Linked DNA regions of Coturnix japonica. The protein of the gene in region 2 purifies or fractionates together with the protein of the main gene of each other region. This does not show direct contact. Links are inferred from orthologs where the notes say so. Each region holds a gene or a part of one and is shown on either strand. Other genes may lie near its edges.

Region 1 (7,329 bases), on a different chromosome or scaffold from region 2:
GCCCAGGTGAACTTAGATGCACCTTGCAGATAAAAAGCTCTGGAAATGTTTTTCTTTTCTTTTCTTTTTTTTTTTTTTCCTGCATTCAAATTAAATTAGAATGGCTTTAAACTTACTGAGCAGAGGCTCTTTTCCCTTTTGGAAACATTTCTAATCAAAATACAGATGTGAAAGTATATGGAAAGAAGGAAAGAGCTTGATGTAACTGTTTTGGGGAGGAAAATAATGTAATTCAATAAAACCGGCTTAAACTCTTTGATTAAAGCTTTTTTAACGTAACAGATAGGGAGATAATAAAGATCAAAAGAGCTTGTGTCCATGCCAGCTAGATTAAATGACAGGATGTGGTGAAGTGCTGGATGCTGTATCTGGTTACTTTACATATGAAACTATATTTGCTGGATGCAAATACATCCAATTTAGAGGAGAGATTTATTTACCTGCACACATCCCCCAAAGAGGCAGGGAAGGGGGCTGGAAGGGGTCTCATCCCATGCAGCTGCTCTTAGGTTTGCTATACATTCTCCCGGGATGTGGGAGAAAAAGAATGGGAATGTCAGGAAGAGAAAACACTGGTGGATATGAAGATGCCACAGGTCTGCAAGGCAGCAGAAAGGGTCTGCCATCCTGCCTGCTTGTGCTACAGCTCTAAGGAACATGAAGCAGAAATTCTGTCAGCTCTGTGGGAAGATTGATGACTCAGAAGATGAAAGGTTTAGCATGAGATGCAAATGAACTGATTTTATTAACTGTTCTTATAATTTATTGTTATTTTTCATTGTTGTGGCAGGGCTGCCTGGGGACCTGAGGCTTTATGGCACCGCAGGCTCAAAATACTCACTAAACACTCAGAAAGCTTCCACAGAAGGTAACAAAAAATGAAGAGGAGGAAAAAAGCCTTTATTAATAAACAGAGGACATATCATAGCTGAACTCTGGAAAAAATAGGCAACAGGTGATAATTCACCCACTTCAACAGGACACTGTATTGTGGCTTCCCATACACAGTTAACACCTGTGATGCTCTGCTTAAAATTCAAACCAAATCACAGCTTAAACCTTAAATATACAAACCTCAGTTGTTTGTTGTTTGGCTTTCTTTAAGCAAACTTCCACCACAAAAAGCTGTCACGTATTTCAGATACCTCCTGGTTTGCTACTCTCAGTCACTGCGCTTTCATCTCCACTGCCTCTTGGCAAATGCAGGATACAAGAGGCTCTGAATCTGAAGACAGCCTATAGCTGAGCATCAGTCTATTAAAAGCAGACTTCCACAGAACTCTGGGCTTGAGAAGCAGGGCACAGCTGGCTCTGAAAAAATACTGAACCCTTATGAGGTTGCCAAAGCATCAGAATACGTTTTAAAAGGGGAATTAGCTGTAGTAGCTTCTGATGCAAGATGATGACCTTCCAAGGACTACATGCTGTTCTTGGGAGTGCGTTTCTTCTCTAAGTGCCAAAGTGTCCCAATAAGATACTTCATTCATATCAAAACAACGCCCCAAATAATTTTATTTGTGGGATACAAAGTTAAAAACAGATGCAAAAATCAACAGAACATTTAAAAAGCTTATTACAAAACCAAACTAAAAGAATAAAACAGTGCATTTTGTGCAAGAGTTTAATTTGGATTCCACCTTCAACAACTTCACACCATTAAACCTGGATATTTAATACTCAATGTAGCTTCTATAGTGTAATAAAGAACTCTCAGTCACTTTAACCAACATTCTAACTCACGTATCCAGTAAGTACAGAGTTTATATGGGGGAGTGTGTAGTATTTTCCACTGCATGAATGCACATGGCCATCACTACATATAGAACAGCCAAACAATTCCACAAGCATTAATGGATTTGCACTGTGGTTAAACTGAACACAAGCAAGTCTTGTGATTTAAGTTACGGGTTGTGTTAATGGAAAGGCACGCTTTACTTTAATGTAAATTCCCATTTCCAGAAGGTAAAACTTTTATGCCTTGGAAACTTTTTCAAGTCATTGCAGCACCATCAAACAACTCTTAAGTGCATGTATCTCAACTTTCAATAGAAAGATCTGGTCTCTATTTCCTTAATCCAGTTCTAAAAAGGGAGAAATTAGATTAAAGACAATAGGTCCCTCCCTCCCGTATGTACAGACGTCAAACTGTATTGCTTTCTCATCAGCAATCCCAGTTTTCCTGTCACACTTTGTTAAGCTTAGTAACTATCAGTACCCTCACAGTTTGGTCAAAGGCACCACAAACACACAGCCCCTTTTTGTCGGGGCTCCAGTCCAGGCTGGAAATGGGCTGTGTTGACAGAGTCACGTTCTGCAAGAGGCTGACAGAACCTGCCACCCCCATCTCAGCTCCTTCCGAGTCCTTCTTTGAGCGCTGAGCCGGGTACTCGCTGGCAGAAAGGAAAGGAAAACTGAGACAAACAGGAATCTCATCCTGCTCTTAAAAGACAGCACAGAAAGGTCTCCTCTGTTCTCAAGATAAGACAAATGTCTTCAAAATAGCGAGCCATCATATCCATCATATCTGAGCTTGGAAGTGAGTCCCCACGCACCATCTTTACAATGATTCTTTCTTTAAACAATAAACAGTTGTTTTGGTTCCTTATTCCCCTGTTATAGAGCAGACAGTGATCACTTACTATTTCCAGAGATGAAGGCTCCCAGCTCCTCCGCTCGTCATAAACACATCCCTGTTCTGCGGGAGGTGCCGAACCTGCCAGATGGTGGATTTGTGTGCCTAGGAAACAACCAGCATTGGACAAAAGTTCTGTACAAACTCCTGTACTACATGTTGCTAAAGGAATGATCCATCTCCCCATTACCTTCTCTGAAACAGAAGCAAAACCTTTAGTTGGGTGCTGAGTCCTCATATCGAAGACATGGAATTTTCCCTCCAGTGACGTGGCCACCAGCTTGTTCATGTTCACATCTTTCCTGTCAAACTCCACACTGCAAACCTGCAAAGAGTGAAACCAATACGTTCAGCCACTGCTACAAGCATATATTTGTGAGTGTGATTTGCAGACACGTATCTAATCATTGGTTATTCTTACAACAGCTTCACCAACTCGGCAATAACGCGATTGCCTGTAAACAGACACACACCACAGCTGGAATGAAGCCCTGCTTCCACAGCACCTTACCCCGTTCTTAATGTTGGTCTCCCATCGCAGTGACATGGCTTTTAAGTCAAACAACTTAATGTCCCCATTGTCGTATCCAGCACATACTACACGTTCCTCTTGATTGTAAGCATTGCCTGGACACAGAGACAGAATTGATCACAACACAGAAACCCCTCTTAGGCTGTAAATTTGAGACCTCTTAAGTCAGCAATTTCAACTTAGATTTATGCCAGCAAAGCATCATATAGTAGGATTTAATGAATTGAGAGCACAGAGTTTGGGATGGACATGGCCTGGGCTCAAGCATCCTGAATTCAAGAGCACAAGTTAAGCATCTCTGCTGTCTTTCGTTAGCTCTGGGGATTGTCTCTTACATTAATGTCTTAATGTCATCAGCAGATATTGGTTCTCCATGCACAATCACAGTTAGACCCCTCCAGGGCAAAGTGGTTTCTTTGCTTTTACATTCCTAGACATAGAAATGTTCAATTCCCACACTAGGGCTGTAAAAATGCCTAAGAATAAAGCTTGTCTGTGAAGTGATTGAGCAGAGATGGTAAGAAAACAATGCCTGAGCCAACTACCACCAAACGTGATGGAAAGACAGCCTTTAAAACACAGTGCAAAGACACAGATGTGATAACACCGAACAACAAACCCTGCCTTCAGTGGTTTGATTACTGTCAACACGCAGTGACATTACAGGGGGCTGTTATCAGACTGGTTACCAAAGGCCACCGTCCAGCAGTCCCTCTTGCTCTCTCCCTGCGCAGGTTCCATGTTGGCAACAGGAGTTTCCTTCTGCCGAGGGTCCCACACCTTCACAGTTCCTAAGGAAAGCAAAGCCATCAGTGTTACAGATGCACTGATGCACCACTCTTGGTTTCCCAGGGAAAGGCAGCCTGACGCCTCCAGACTATGTCAGTGTATAGGAAGAAATGAAACATAATACAAACAGAAAAGCACAGGGAAAGTATAAGATGTCTAGCTGCTATTTTGTATTTGTTCTGCTTTATGTTCCTCCTCTCCAGCTCCCAAAGGAAGCAGAGGAGGCTCATCCCAAAGGGCCGCCCTCCATTTCGGTGCCCACAGCCTGTAGTTCAGGGATGTCACTGAGCAGCTCAGCTCTCTCCCACTCACCATCCCGGCTGCCTGTCACAATTTCTGGGGCACCTTCCCCAATTCCGAGGCCTCCGACCCCATCGATGCAGTTAATGATTTCCTTGTGACCTTTCACGGAGTACACGGGGACTTCAGGAGCTTCTAAGTTCCTATGTGAGAAACAGATAACACAGCGTTGCCTTCAGTAGCCAGGAGCGCTGTAAGGAATCACACACCCACCAGATGCTGAGGCATCCCGCGAAGTCCCCTGTCGCCAGGTGCCGTTGCTGCAGGGAGGCTGCCCCGAAGGTGGCACATTTTATCGGTTTGGCCTTTTCGATCTGCAGATAAAGGACACGGTCGGCACCGTATGAAGCGTTAAACCCCTCGGCCTACGAGGTGCCGCCCCGCATCGCCCCGCTCACCTCGCTCAGCAGCAGCAGCCGCCCGGCTCGCAGCTCGTACAGCTGGATGAGGCCGGTGCCTCGCGGGGCGCTGCCGAGGCACAGCAGGCGGGCGCTGCGCGGCACCCACTTGCAGTCGAACACGGTGTAAGTCAGCGGCTGCTGCACGTGAACCACCACCTGCGGCCGGTCCAGCCCCGCCGCCGACATAACGAGCGACGGCAGCGACGCGGATAACGCAGGAAGCGGAAGGGACGGCGGGACGGGCAGGAAGTGGCGGTGGCTTTTCCGGCGGAGGGCCACGCTATGGAGTCTGAAGCGGATGAGAACGGGAGCGGCTTCACCAGCGTGGCTTCCAAGCGCGGCAGGAGGAAGCGGAGAGCGGCGGCTGCGGAGCCGATGGAGGCGGTGGATGCGGCGGGGCCGCAGCCCAGCAAGAGACCCGCCTTCCCACCGCTGCCCGCCGCGGCCATGGGGGTGAGCGCGGCGCCGAGGCGGAGGGATGGGGCGGACGGGCTGCACGTGTCCGCTCAGCGCCCATCTGTCCGCAGGTGGGGAAAGGGGAGGTGAGGAAGGTGCCGGTACCGGCCAACAGGTACACGCCGCTGAAGGAGAACTGGATGAAGATATTCACGCCCATCGTGGAGCACCTGCAGCTCCAGATCAGGTTTAACTTAAAGACCAGGAACGTGGAGATCAAGGTGAGCGCTGTGCTGTGTGTCCTCACGTTCCTCTCATCCCTCGTGTTTCATTGAAACCCGCCCAACCGGGCCTTGGGCACCTCCAAGGCACCCACAGCTCTCTGGGCAGCCTGTTGTCTTAAGCACAACATACACTACTGGTCTGCGCTTTCAGTAGAACACAATGCGGAGGTGGCATTACACGAACGTGGCTTTGGCTTTCTTTTATACAGCCAGCCTTTATCTCACTGACTTTCCAAGTCCTGATTCCGTTTGCCTGATAACATAGAAACGTATCTTCTCGTTCTGCAGACCTGTGCTGAGACCAAAGACCTCAGTGCTCTGACCAAAGCAGCTGACTTTGTCAAAGCCTTCATACTCGGCTTCCAGGTGGAGGTGAGTCTCCCAGCGGCCGGGTTGTGCTATTGCTCAATATCTTCAAGCACTCTGGACATGACATCAAGAAACAGAAAACTTCAGGGTGGTTTTCTTTAATGTTTGAAGTTAAAACTGATGTTTGATGCGTCAAATGGAGATACGTGACTGATTTGATCTGTTTGGGCCTGTAAAGAACTTGTGTGTGACAGTGCTGCAGTGCTCAGGCTGATGGTGACTCTGAATGTTGCAGGACGCTCTCGCTCTCATCAGATTAGATGATCTCTTCCTGGAATCATTTGAAGTTACGGATGGTGAGTAGTTTCTGCTGTGCTACTCAAGCAGCCATTCACTTCTGAGCACTTCTTTGCTCTTTCCTTCTTTTCCACGTGTGTCACTTTGGGGATCAGGAAAACCCCGATGCCAATACATGGCATAACTGTCTATGGGGAGAACCTGGAGCTGGACACAAGGAGAGCAGCATCTAAAACTGATGTGTTTCAACATGTGTTAATTGCTGCTTTTCCCTTTGTTTGAATAGAGGAAATGTCACGGAGGATACGCAGCACAGCGTAATTGATTGAGTACTTTGTTCTTGTTTTAGTCAAACCTTTGAAGGGAGATCACCTGTCCAGAGCAATAGGGAGAATAGCGGGGAAAGGTGGAAAAACCAAATTCACTATAGAAAACGTAACGAGAACGAGGATCGTTCTTGCTGACTCGTAAGTACTGACATCCTTATCAGCTGTCATCATTGCTGCATTTCTTATATTAACTAATATTGCTTTGACTCCTTTTTACAGGAAAATCCATATTTTAGGATCTTTTCAGAACATTAAAATGGCACGAACGGCAATTTGCAACCTCATTTTAGGTGAGTCCTGTTGCCACTTGTTGCTGTTATATGTGCCGTGAGTGGGACTGACTCAATGCTCACAATAAGATGAAGCTTTGAGCATCTGTCTCACCCAGGGTCAAATTGCCCACACTGACACAGATTTAAACATGAGAGCAGAACAGCGTGTCTGTAACACACGTACTAACAGATACTTTCTCTTGCAGGAAGTCCACCATCCAAAGTTTATGGCAATATTCGGGCTGTGGCCAGCAGAGCAGCTGAAAGATTCTGAGGTGCTGCTTTACCAAAGACTGCGGCTGTGGAAGCACTCGGCCTTCTGCTGGAATGGGAAGCACAGAAGAAAAGTGGGACTGTTTGTGCAGTCTGCATCCTGCAGGCATCCTGTCTGATTGAACACAACCTCTGTACAGCCATTAAAAGCTATTGTAAAAATGATGAAAGGGTATACTGAAGTATATGGGTGCCTGATTTTGCTTTATTCTTGAGCCTAAGCAAGATTGAGAGTTGACTTTCTGATTATCCAATACAAGACCATTCACAGGACTTGAGAAAGCCTGTAAGTCTGGAGCTGAAAGCAGTCAGCAGTGTTACGTGTTCATTACCACAGAGCAGTCAGCATCTGGGTGTAAAAATGAAGCACCAATTGCAGTGCCAAGCATAAGAGCAGGCTGCTGGGAGAGTCTGACACTGCAGCAGTGCACCACGGTGTGAAGGCCAAGAGTTAAACAGTGTATCTGCACTTTGCTTTAGAACCTGCGCTTACCTGGATTCCTGTTCTCATGAGT
Region 2 (7,344 bases):
AGCACAATTACAGCCAACATACAAACACTTACCCTCATCTAAGTAAGAATCAGCCAAACTTCCACCAAGCTTCTTAATGATGTGGATGGCTTCCAAGTTCCCAGAACCCTTCAATCTAAGAACAGCTTCTACAGCCAGCTTGACAAAGTGATCTTTATGATGAGTGAGTAATTTTGATGAGAGAGTTGTTCCTGCAATGTTCATCAAGTCTTCACGGAACTTCACTTCATCATCACTACAATAAAGGCAACACAGCTACATTAGTAGGTCTCAATCTGGCAGCCTTGAGTATCACTAGACTATCACTATCATGGTATTTCTGCTTGGTGTTTTGAGATAATACCCATACTCATTTAGAAACTGGAGAAGCCACAGGTGAAATATTTTTTTGAAGCTGGCTTTAAATTAATTTAGCCTCATTTTTGTTGAAGCGGTACTTTGTTAACTGCTAGTTGTCATTTCTTTTACAACATCAATGCTGCCTTACAGTAATTACCTGCATTTTGCTACTTTGATCAGGGACCACGTTAGCATGTACTATCAGCAACCTGTATGTCAAGATGACACCCATGATTTTTGGCTATGTAACATGGTACAACATTTAAACCTACACTAGTAAGTAGAAATTGGTGCTTCTTCTTTCTATATCAAGGCTATATCTAATATATATATATATATATATTTAATTGCCCTTGCACTATTTGTACTAAAACACTGGACTGGTATTCTATGATATGTAATTTCACTACAAGAATAGTTTAAACTGATTAACAACAAAAACTCTGCACCTGCTTAGAAAAGCCTGTGCAGTCAGGTAAAGAATTCAAAGAAACTTAAAATCAGAGCAAGAGATCTGAAATAACGACTCAGACTTTTGTCCTATGGAGAGAATTACTGTTCATTTTCTGTTTCTGAATACCACAAGCAATTTTCAGTAGTCTTACAAAGCTTTTACAGTTCACCAAACTCAAAAGTAGTCTCTTCCCCTCAAGTATTCATTTATTCTGCTTCTTTCAAACAGCAAAAAAATCCCCAGCATTCTATAATTCTCATTGGTAAGTTTCATTCTCAAATAGTTTATAACGAGCTTCCACAACTCTACATTACTAACCCATGATCCACAGCTGCTTTCAAGAGTGCCTCTCTCGAAGCTTTTGTGGCTGCCCTCCAACCTGCAATGATGGTCTGAGGATGAATCTTCTTTGAAATCAGTAACTCTGCCTCCTATTTGAATAAAATTAATCATTAGCTTTCTTAAACAGAACATTTACATTAACTAGGAAAGATATTTCGGAGTAGTCTGAAGATTCTGAATGCCAGCAAAAGCATCAGGACTATAAAAATGAAGTGAAGACCTGAGAGAGGGAGAACATCCTAGGCACCTTTCCACTCCCCCCCCCTCCAATCCAGGCAAATATGATCTGCCCTTGGAATTAAGTAACAAAACTAATTCTAATATGAATAGCAACCAGACACATGCATCAAAACAGCCAACTCTCACTTGATGTTACACATTGGTTCCTTGTTCATTTAAACCTGTAACTGAAGGTGCAGTGGGGGCTCAGAGGAAAGCAAGGAACACCCTCAAAGTCCCTTTTGCAAGGAAGTCAGCAAGCTGACACACCATTTCTCAGATGCTCCTAATCTCAGATCCACTAACTATGACCATTAGATTCCCCAGTACAGCTTGAGTTCTTCAGTTCTAGGACCTATTTCATAGTGACTTCAAACACAGTGTTTGGTAATCTTCAATCTGCAGTGTTTAAAAGGAATATTACAAATTCAGGTCATGTGCACACAACAACAGAAATTGACAAGGCTGGTTTTTCCCCTCCTGGACACTGTGGAAAAGGATTTTAAAGGAGCCTCACATTGCATGCACTGCTCAATGCAAAATCCAGAAACTGGCCTATGACACAGGAATACTTTGTTTCACTTGTAAAATAAAATAAGGAGAAAGTATTTTTTAAAGAAATGTATCAAATCAAAATACTTGTGAGTCTATGCATTATACCGACTACATCAAAATATATCTAAAATAATACATGAAGACAGTATGCAAGGGTTTTTTCCTACCAGTTTAATGGCAACGGGGCAAAGTATTCCTATCCTTTGGGAGCCCACTTCATAAGCATCAACAACACATCTCCTACTGGCATCCCAGGACTACACAGCCTATATGAAACCGTCTAAAAATGTTAATACATCACCCTCAGCAACTCAGCTGCCAACACTGTGACAGACGTAGTTCCATCACCAACTTCATCATCTTGAACCTTTGACATATCTAAAAGAAAGGCACTGCATTAATGCTTGCATTCAAAACAGACTGAACGCCCCTAGCAGCTATTATCTTCAGCATTTGTACCTCACATGACTTTAAGGAAGAAAAAAGAATTCCACTGCCAAAGAGGCTGTCAAACTGTAACTCAGACTGAAACTGAGATGCAAATCAAACACAACATCATCCTTCAAATTCCCCATCGTCGTTTGCAACACAGACCTGTTTTAGCCTATCAGTATTCAAGAGCCACCCCCCTCTCAACGTGTGCCTAAAGATCATGATCAAAATAAAGTAAGGCCAGACAGATGCTCTCAAGTATAGATAAGCAATATCACAGAATATGTCAATTTTTCACACTGTGTAGAATATTTCTCTATGAAGAAGTTAAAACTACGTAAGAAAGTTACAAGTGAAGAAATTCCATGTATGACAATGACAAACTGTTAGAAACTCACCAACCAAGACCTTGGCAGCTGGGTTGTCAACTCCAATAGCTTTCAGGATGGTTGCACCATCATTGGTCACTGTCACCGTGCTATCCCTCCCAGTACTGAGGAGAATCTTGTCCTACGTGATGCAAGAAATAGAACAGTTTGAAAAAGAACAGTAACTATTAAAACTAAATTATCATACAATGGTGCGAGTTAGAAGGGACCTTAAAAACCATCCAGTTTCAACCTCCTGCTGTGGGCTGGTCGCTGTCCACCAGCTCAGGCTGCCGAGGGCCCCATCCAACCTGGCCTTGAACAGCTCCAGGGATGGGGGTATCCACAGCTTCCCTGGACAGCTGTGCCAGGGCCTCTTTACCCTCAGAGTGAAGTATTTCCCCCTTATAACTAATCTAAACCTGCCCTCTTTCAGAGTAAAAATATTACACCTTGTCCCATCACTACACACTCTTCCCAGCTTTCCTGTAGGCTTCTACACCGGAAGGCTGCACTGAGGTCTCCCTGGAGCCTTTGTTTCTCCAGGTTCAACAAGCCAAGCTCCTTCAGCCTGTCTCTGTAAGAGAGGTGCTCCAGCCCTCTCATCATCCCTGTGTCCTCTACTGGACCCACTCCAATAGCTCCACGCTTTTCTTGTGTCAGGCACCCCAACCCAGAGTATTGCAGGCATGTCCTCTTAAGAGAGAACAGGGGGGACAATGCCCTCCCTCTCTCTGCTGATTACAACTGTTTCAATACAGCCCAGAGCATGGTTGGCTTCCTGGACTACAAGCATGCATTGCTGGCTCATATTCAGCTTTTCATTCAACAATCTATCCAAGTCCTCCTCCACAGGGCTCCAGTCATTGCCCAGCCTGTGTTCATGTCTGCGATTGCCTTGACCCAGGTGCAGAATCTTGCACTTGGCCTCACGAACCTCCATGAGGTTTGCGTGGGCTAAAGCCTGAAATGAACAGGTCTGACCACTGAGGACTTGAAGCTATCTTACCATGCCTTTAGGTCCCAGAGTGCTCTTGACCAGGTCACCAATAGCGATTGCACCAACAAAGGATGACTGTAACAAAAACAAATACACCTTAGAAAATTCTTTATTTCTACTTTAAAACAGTAAGTAAGAGCTAGGCTCTAACTTCCAAGGGGACATCTTAACTAAATTCTTCTACAGGCAAACTCCTTCCAGAAGAATCTGGTTCCAAGTTTCTTAAGTGCTACATTTCAGTAACGTACTTAATTTTTGCAGTAAGCATAAAACCACATAACAGAGCCAAAAGACTTCCAAGGAATAAGAACCTCCTAAGCTGAGATACACAGAATCACAGAATGACCCGGGTTGGAAGGGACCTCAAGGATCATGTAGTTCCAACCCCCCTGCCTGGCAGGGCCACCAAACATACACCTTTACTAGATCAGGTTGCCCAGGGCCCCATCCAGCATGGCCTTGAAAGAAGAACACTGCTGATATGAACAAAACACTTCTACCTTCTGTAACAACAAAAGACAAAACGAGACTACTGAAGCTCTACAGCAGTACACATTGAAAGTAAATTTAAATGTAAAAGAACGACTGTAATTACCCAGAGCATCATTTATCTGAGAGAATAAACTTACCAACCGAGCTGTTTCTGCTTTCTCTTCATCTGCACCTGCCTTGAAAATGTTGACGGGAGCGAGAGAAATGGACGCCTACAGCAGAGAGAGCAGAGAATAGTCCCGGAGCTTTGACAAAACACTGTATTCTAAACACAAATCCCCAGCACTAGCAAGCTAAGATGGCTTTAATACTGAAATCATTCCCGTGTCACGCTTGGTTTTGATAACAAGTACATTAATACTGAATAGACCCGCCCGCGGCCTAACGGGCTCGCCTCGTGCGCGCTCTGGAACCTTCCAGGCCCAACCTCCTCCTCCACACTCCACTCCACTCCCCGCCGCTCCGCGCCTCCTTCGTTCCCTCTCCCCCCCTCGGGTGGAAGCTCCGCGGGCGCGGTGCGGGGCCGTCCGTTGCTCACCATGATGCCGAGGGACACACAGCCGGCTCCGGTACGGGACGAGCTCACACACCGCCACACAGCGCCACAGCACGGCGGAATTGCCGTCACAGGAAGCGGCGGGGATGGAGCCGCGCGGCGCTGTGGGAGATGCAGTCCGCACCGAGGCGGGGGGAGGGAGCGGGATGGGGCAGCCCGCCATTACCTCAATGGGGGCATACAGGAAAGGGACTTGTCACAGAGCACAGAGCATGTACAGCTACTAAGCTGTACACTGAAACAGGGCTCGTTGAGATTAGACATTTATATATGAGGGTGACGGAGCACTGGAACAGGCTGCCCAGGGAGGTGGTGCAGTCTCCTTCTCTGGAGATATTCAAGACCCTCCTGGACACCTACCTGTGCGACGTGGTGTAGGGAGCCTGCTTTGGCAGGGGTGTTGGACTCAATGATCTCTAGAGGTCCCTTCCAACCCCTACAATCCTGTGTGATATTACAGAAGAGCAAAACAGGCTACTAATGCAGTATGCACCCACACTAACAGCAGCACATATTAAAGTAACCCACACGTTATTTTCAATGTAAAATCAATAGTTTATTGCCATGCTACAATTATTATTATTTTTTTTTCCAAATGAAGTTGGCACTGGTAAAGGGGAAAACATCATAATACATAATACAGCTTTAAAGGTGAACATTTGGTAAGCTTTCTCAATTAGGATCGCTTCAAACAAGGGGGGGGGGGGGGGGGNCTGTTTGTTTTTTGTTTGTTGGGGTTTTTTGTGTGTTTTTTTTTTTTTAAGATTAACATGGAATGGCATAAAAATACACTCTTTCTGCATAGTATAATTTTCATCAAAGAAATATGGAATGTCTGTAAAAACAAATTCATCCAACAGGGCAAATGAAGTTTTATAAACAGTTTGGCAATGATACTCTCACTGTTTAGACCTTTTTATATAAAAGAAATAAAAATCTAGAAAGCTACCTTTATACAAAGTTGCTATATTTATGCCTTTAAGTAGGAAAAAAAAAACATTTTATAATGCAAATTAGGACATACAATAATCTTACAATATCATACAATGTAATGACAAGAAAGGAACATACAACGTAAGATTTTGGCCTTTTGTAGAAACACGTATTTCTGCATTTAATAAATGCATTTGTGGCACACTGGTGACTACTGTATTCTTACTCCTACCAGCCAGCACACGTGATAGAACTGTTGTCAGCTGTACTGTAAGGGCAGCTCTGCGGTTTAGATAGAAAACACAGACGATATTTCATGAGACATAAGGTGATGCTGCAGTGGATTGAGATGTAACACGCAAAAAAGGCAACGCCTGCTGGTTGAGACATTGTGGGGTACTGTACAACATTACTGTCTTTCATACCAGAGCATTTCATATACATTCAGTTCTTATGTACCAAAGTCTTACAAGTGAGAACATTTGTCTTCAAGATTTGGCAAATTTCAGGGAAAATACAAAGTTAGTACCAAATATATAATATATTATATATAAAATGCAGGTGTATGATATACACACATATTCTAATGCAAAAAAACTGCATTAATATGGAGTTAAGTTCACTGATATCCACTCCTAAATAACACAACCATTACAAATACAGGTGTAATCCTGATCTTTCACACACTTAGAATCACTTCCTCTTTCATACACAATAGTTAAAGCAATATATATGCAGGTATGACTAAGAAATCAAAACACACATACTAGTCTGAACTCTGACCACAGCAAATAGGATTCCTGTTTTCAGTACATGTAATTAAATATATTTATATTTTTACAGTATTTTTAGACCATTCCTGAAGAACTTGACCAACCAGGTCCTCAGGTGTAACAGAGCTGCTGTCAGCAGAACTCAATCTTGTAGGAACACACCCGGAGGCCCAGACGCAGATATGAATTAGTTGTTTGGCTTCAAGGGATGCTGCACGAGGCCCGAGCACTAGGAAGGCAGATTCCCTGATGACATCAAAGCTCCTACTTTAGACTTCTTGTTCTACTGCCAAAGGGAAGGACCAGAGCAAAGGACGCACCGACCCCAGGCTCTCTGGGCTGCTGGCAAGTGGTTGAGTGTAACCACACATGGCATGGCCCTGGCACTGGGGAGAGGCAAGGTGAGCTTCATGGCACCTTTGTGCTAAGGCTTCTCCAGAGAGCAGAAGAGCTGCTCCTCCACATTCATCTCTTGACAGTTCATTCACCACAGGTCTCGGACGGGAGCTGTGACTGGGACCTCGAAGCATGAAGGGCTTTTGCAGACATGCAGGAAGACAGTCCCTGTTCCAGAGGGCTCGAGCCTATTTCATGATCATATTTTTACAGAATCTCCTTTGTATATACACATTTGCTACATAAAATAGAATTACACCGAAGTAATGGGTATATCAGAAAACAGTGTCACAATGTATGTATATTACCACACTAAATAATTATTAAAACTGCAAGAAAAAATTCAAAATGCCCTTTGTAATATATAAAAATATAGAAATGTCCAAAACTTGTTTCATCAACTTTAAAGGTAACTTTATATCTCATGTTCTATCTGTACACCTACATATTTCCAAACAAAACACTGCGTTAATCTGGAGCAAACA

The links. Proteins that work in one complex are often made in the same cells at the same time.
Region 1: the proteins of CCT2 (region 2) and WDR92 purify together in Homo sapiens (affinity purification with mass spectrometry; 3 studies listed by BioGRID and IntAct, with this or other methods). This does not show direct contact. The link is inferred for Coturnix japonica from reciprocal best matches to the Homo sapiens genes CCT2 and DNAAF10.

What each region holds. Positions count from the first base shown.
Region 1 is NC_029518.1:371,950-379,278, reverse strand, and holds WDR92 (WD repeat-containing protein 92), read right to left. Parts: upstream 4,871-7,329; 5' UTR 4,841-4,870; coding exon 4,652-4,840; intron 4,568-4,651; coding exon 4,467-4,567; intron 4,397-4,466; coding exon 4,266-4,396; intron 3,956-4,265; coding exon 3,854-3,955; intron 3,260-3,853; coding exon 3,144-3,259; intron 2,958-3,143; coding exon 2,823-2,957; intron 2,738-2,822; coding exon 2,640-2,737; intron 2,391-2,639; coding exon 2,183-2,390; 3' UTR 880-2,182; downstream 1-879. Other genes in the region: RNA-binding protein PNO1, read left to right, coding at 4,937-5,107, 5,182-5,331, 5,623-5,706, 5,939-5,999, 6,290-6,407, 6,489-6,559, 6,748-6,815. UniProt on the Homo sapiens protein: Key assembly factor specifically required for the stability of axonemal dynein heavy chains in cytoplasm.
Region 2 is NC_029516.1:32,199,582-32,206,925, reverse strand, and holds the start of CCT2 (T-complex protein 1 subunit beta), read right to left. Parts: upstream 4,876-7,344; 5' UTR 4,743-4,875; coding exon 4,740-4,742; intron 4,414-4,739; coding exon 4,339-4,413; intron 3,785-4,338; coding exon 3,719-3,784; intron 2,852-3,718; coding exon 2,740-2,851; intron 2,288-2,739; coding exon 2,211-2,287; intron 1,225-2,210; coding exon 1,112-1,224; intron 236-1,111; coding exon 33-235; intron 1-32. UniProt on the Homo sapiens protein: Component of the chaperonin-containing T-complex (TRiC), a molecular chaperone complex that assists the folding of actin, tubulin and other proteins upon ATP hydrolysis.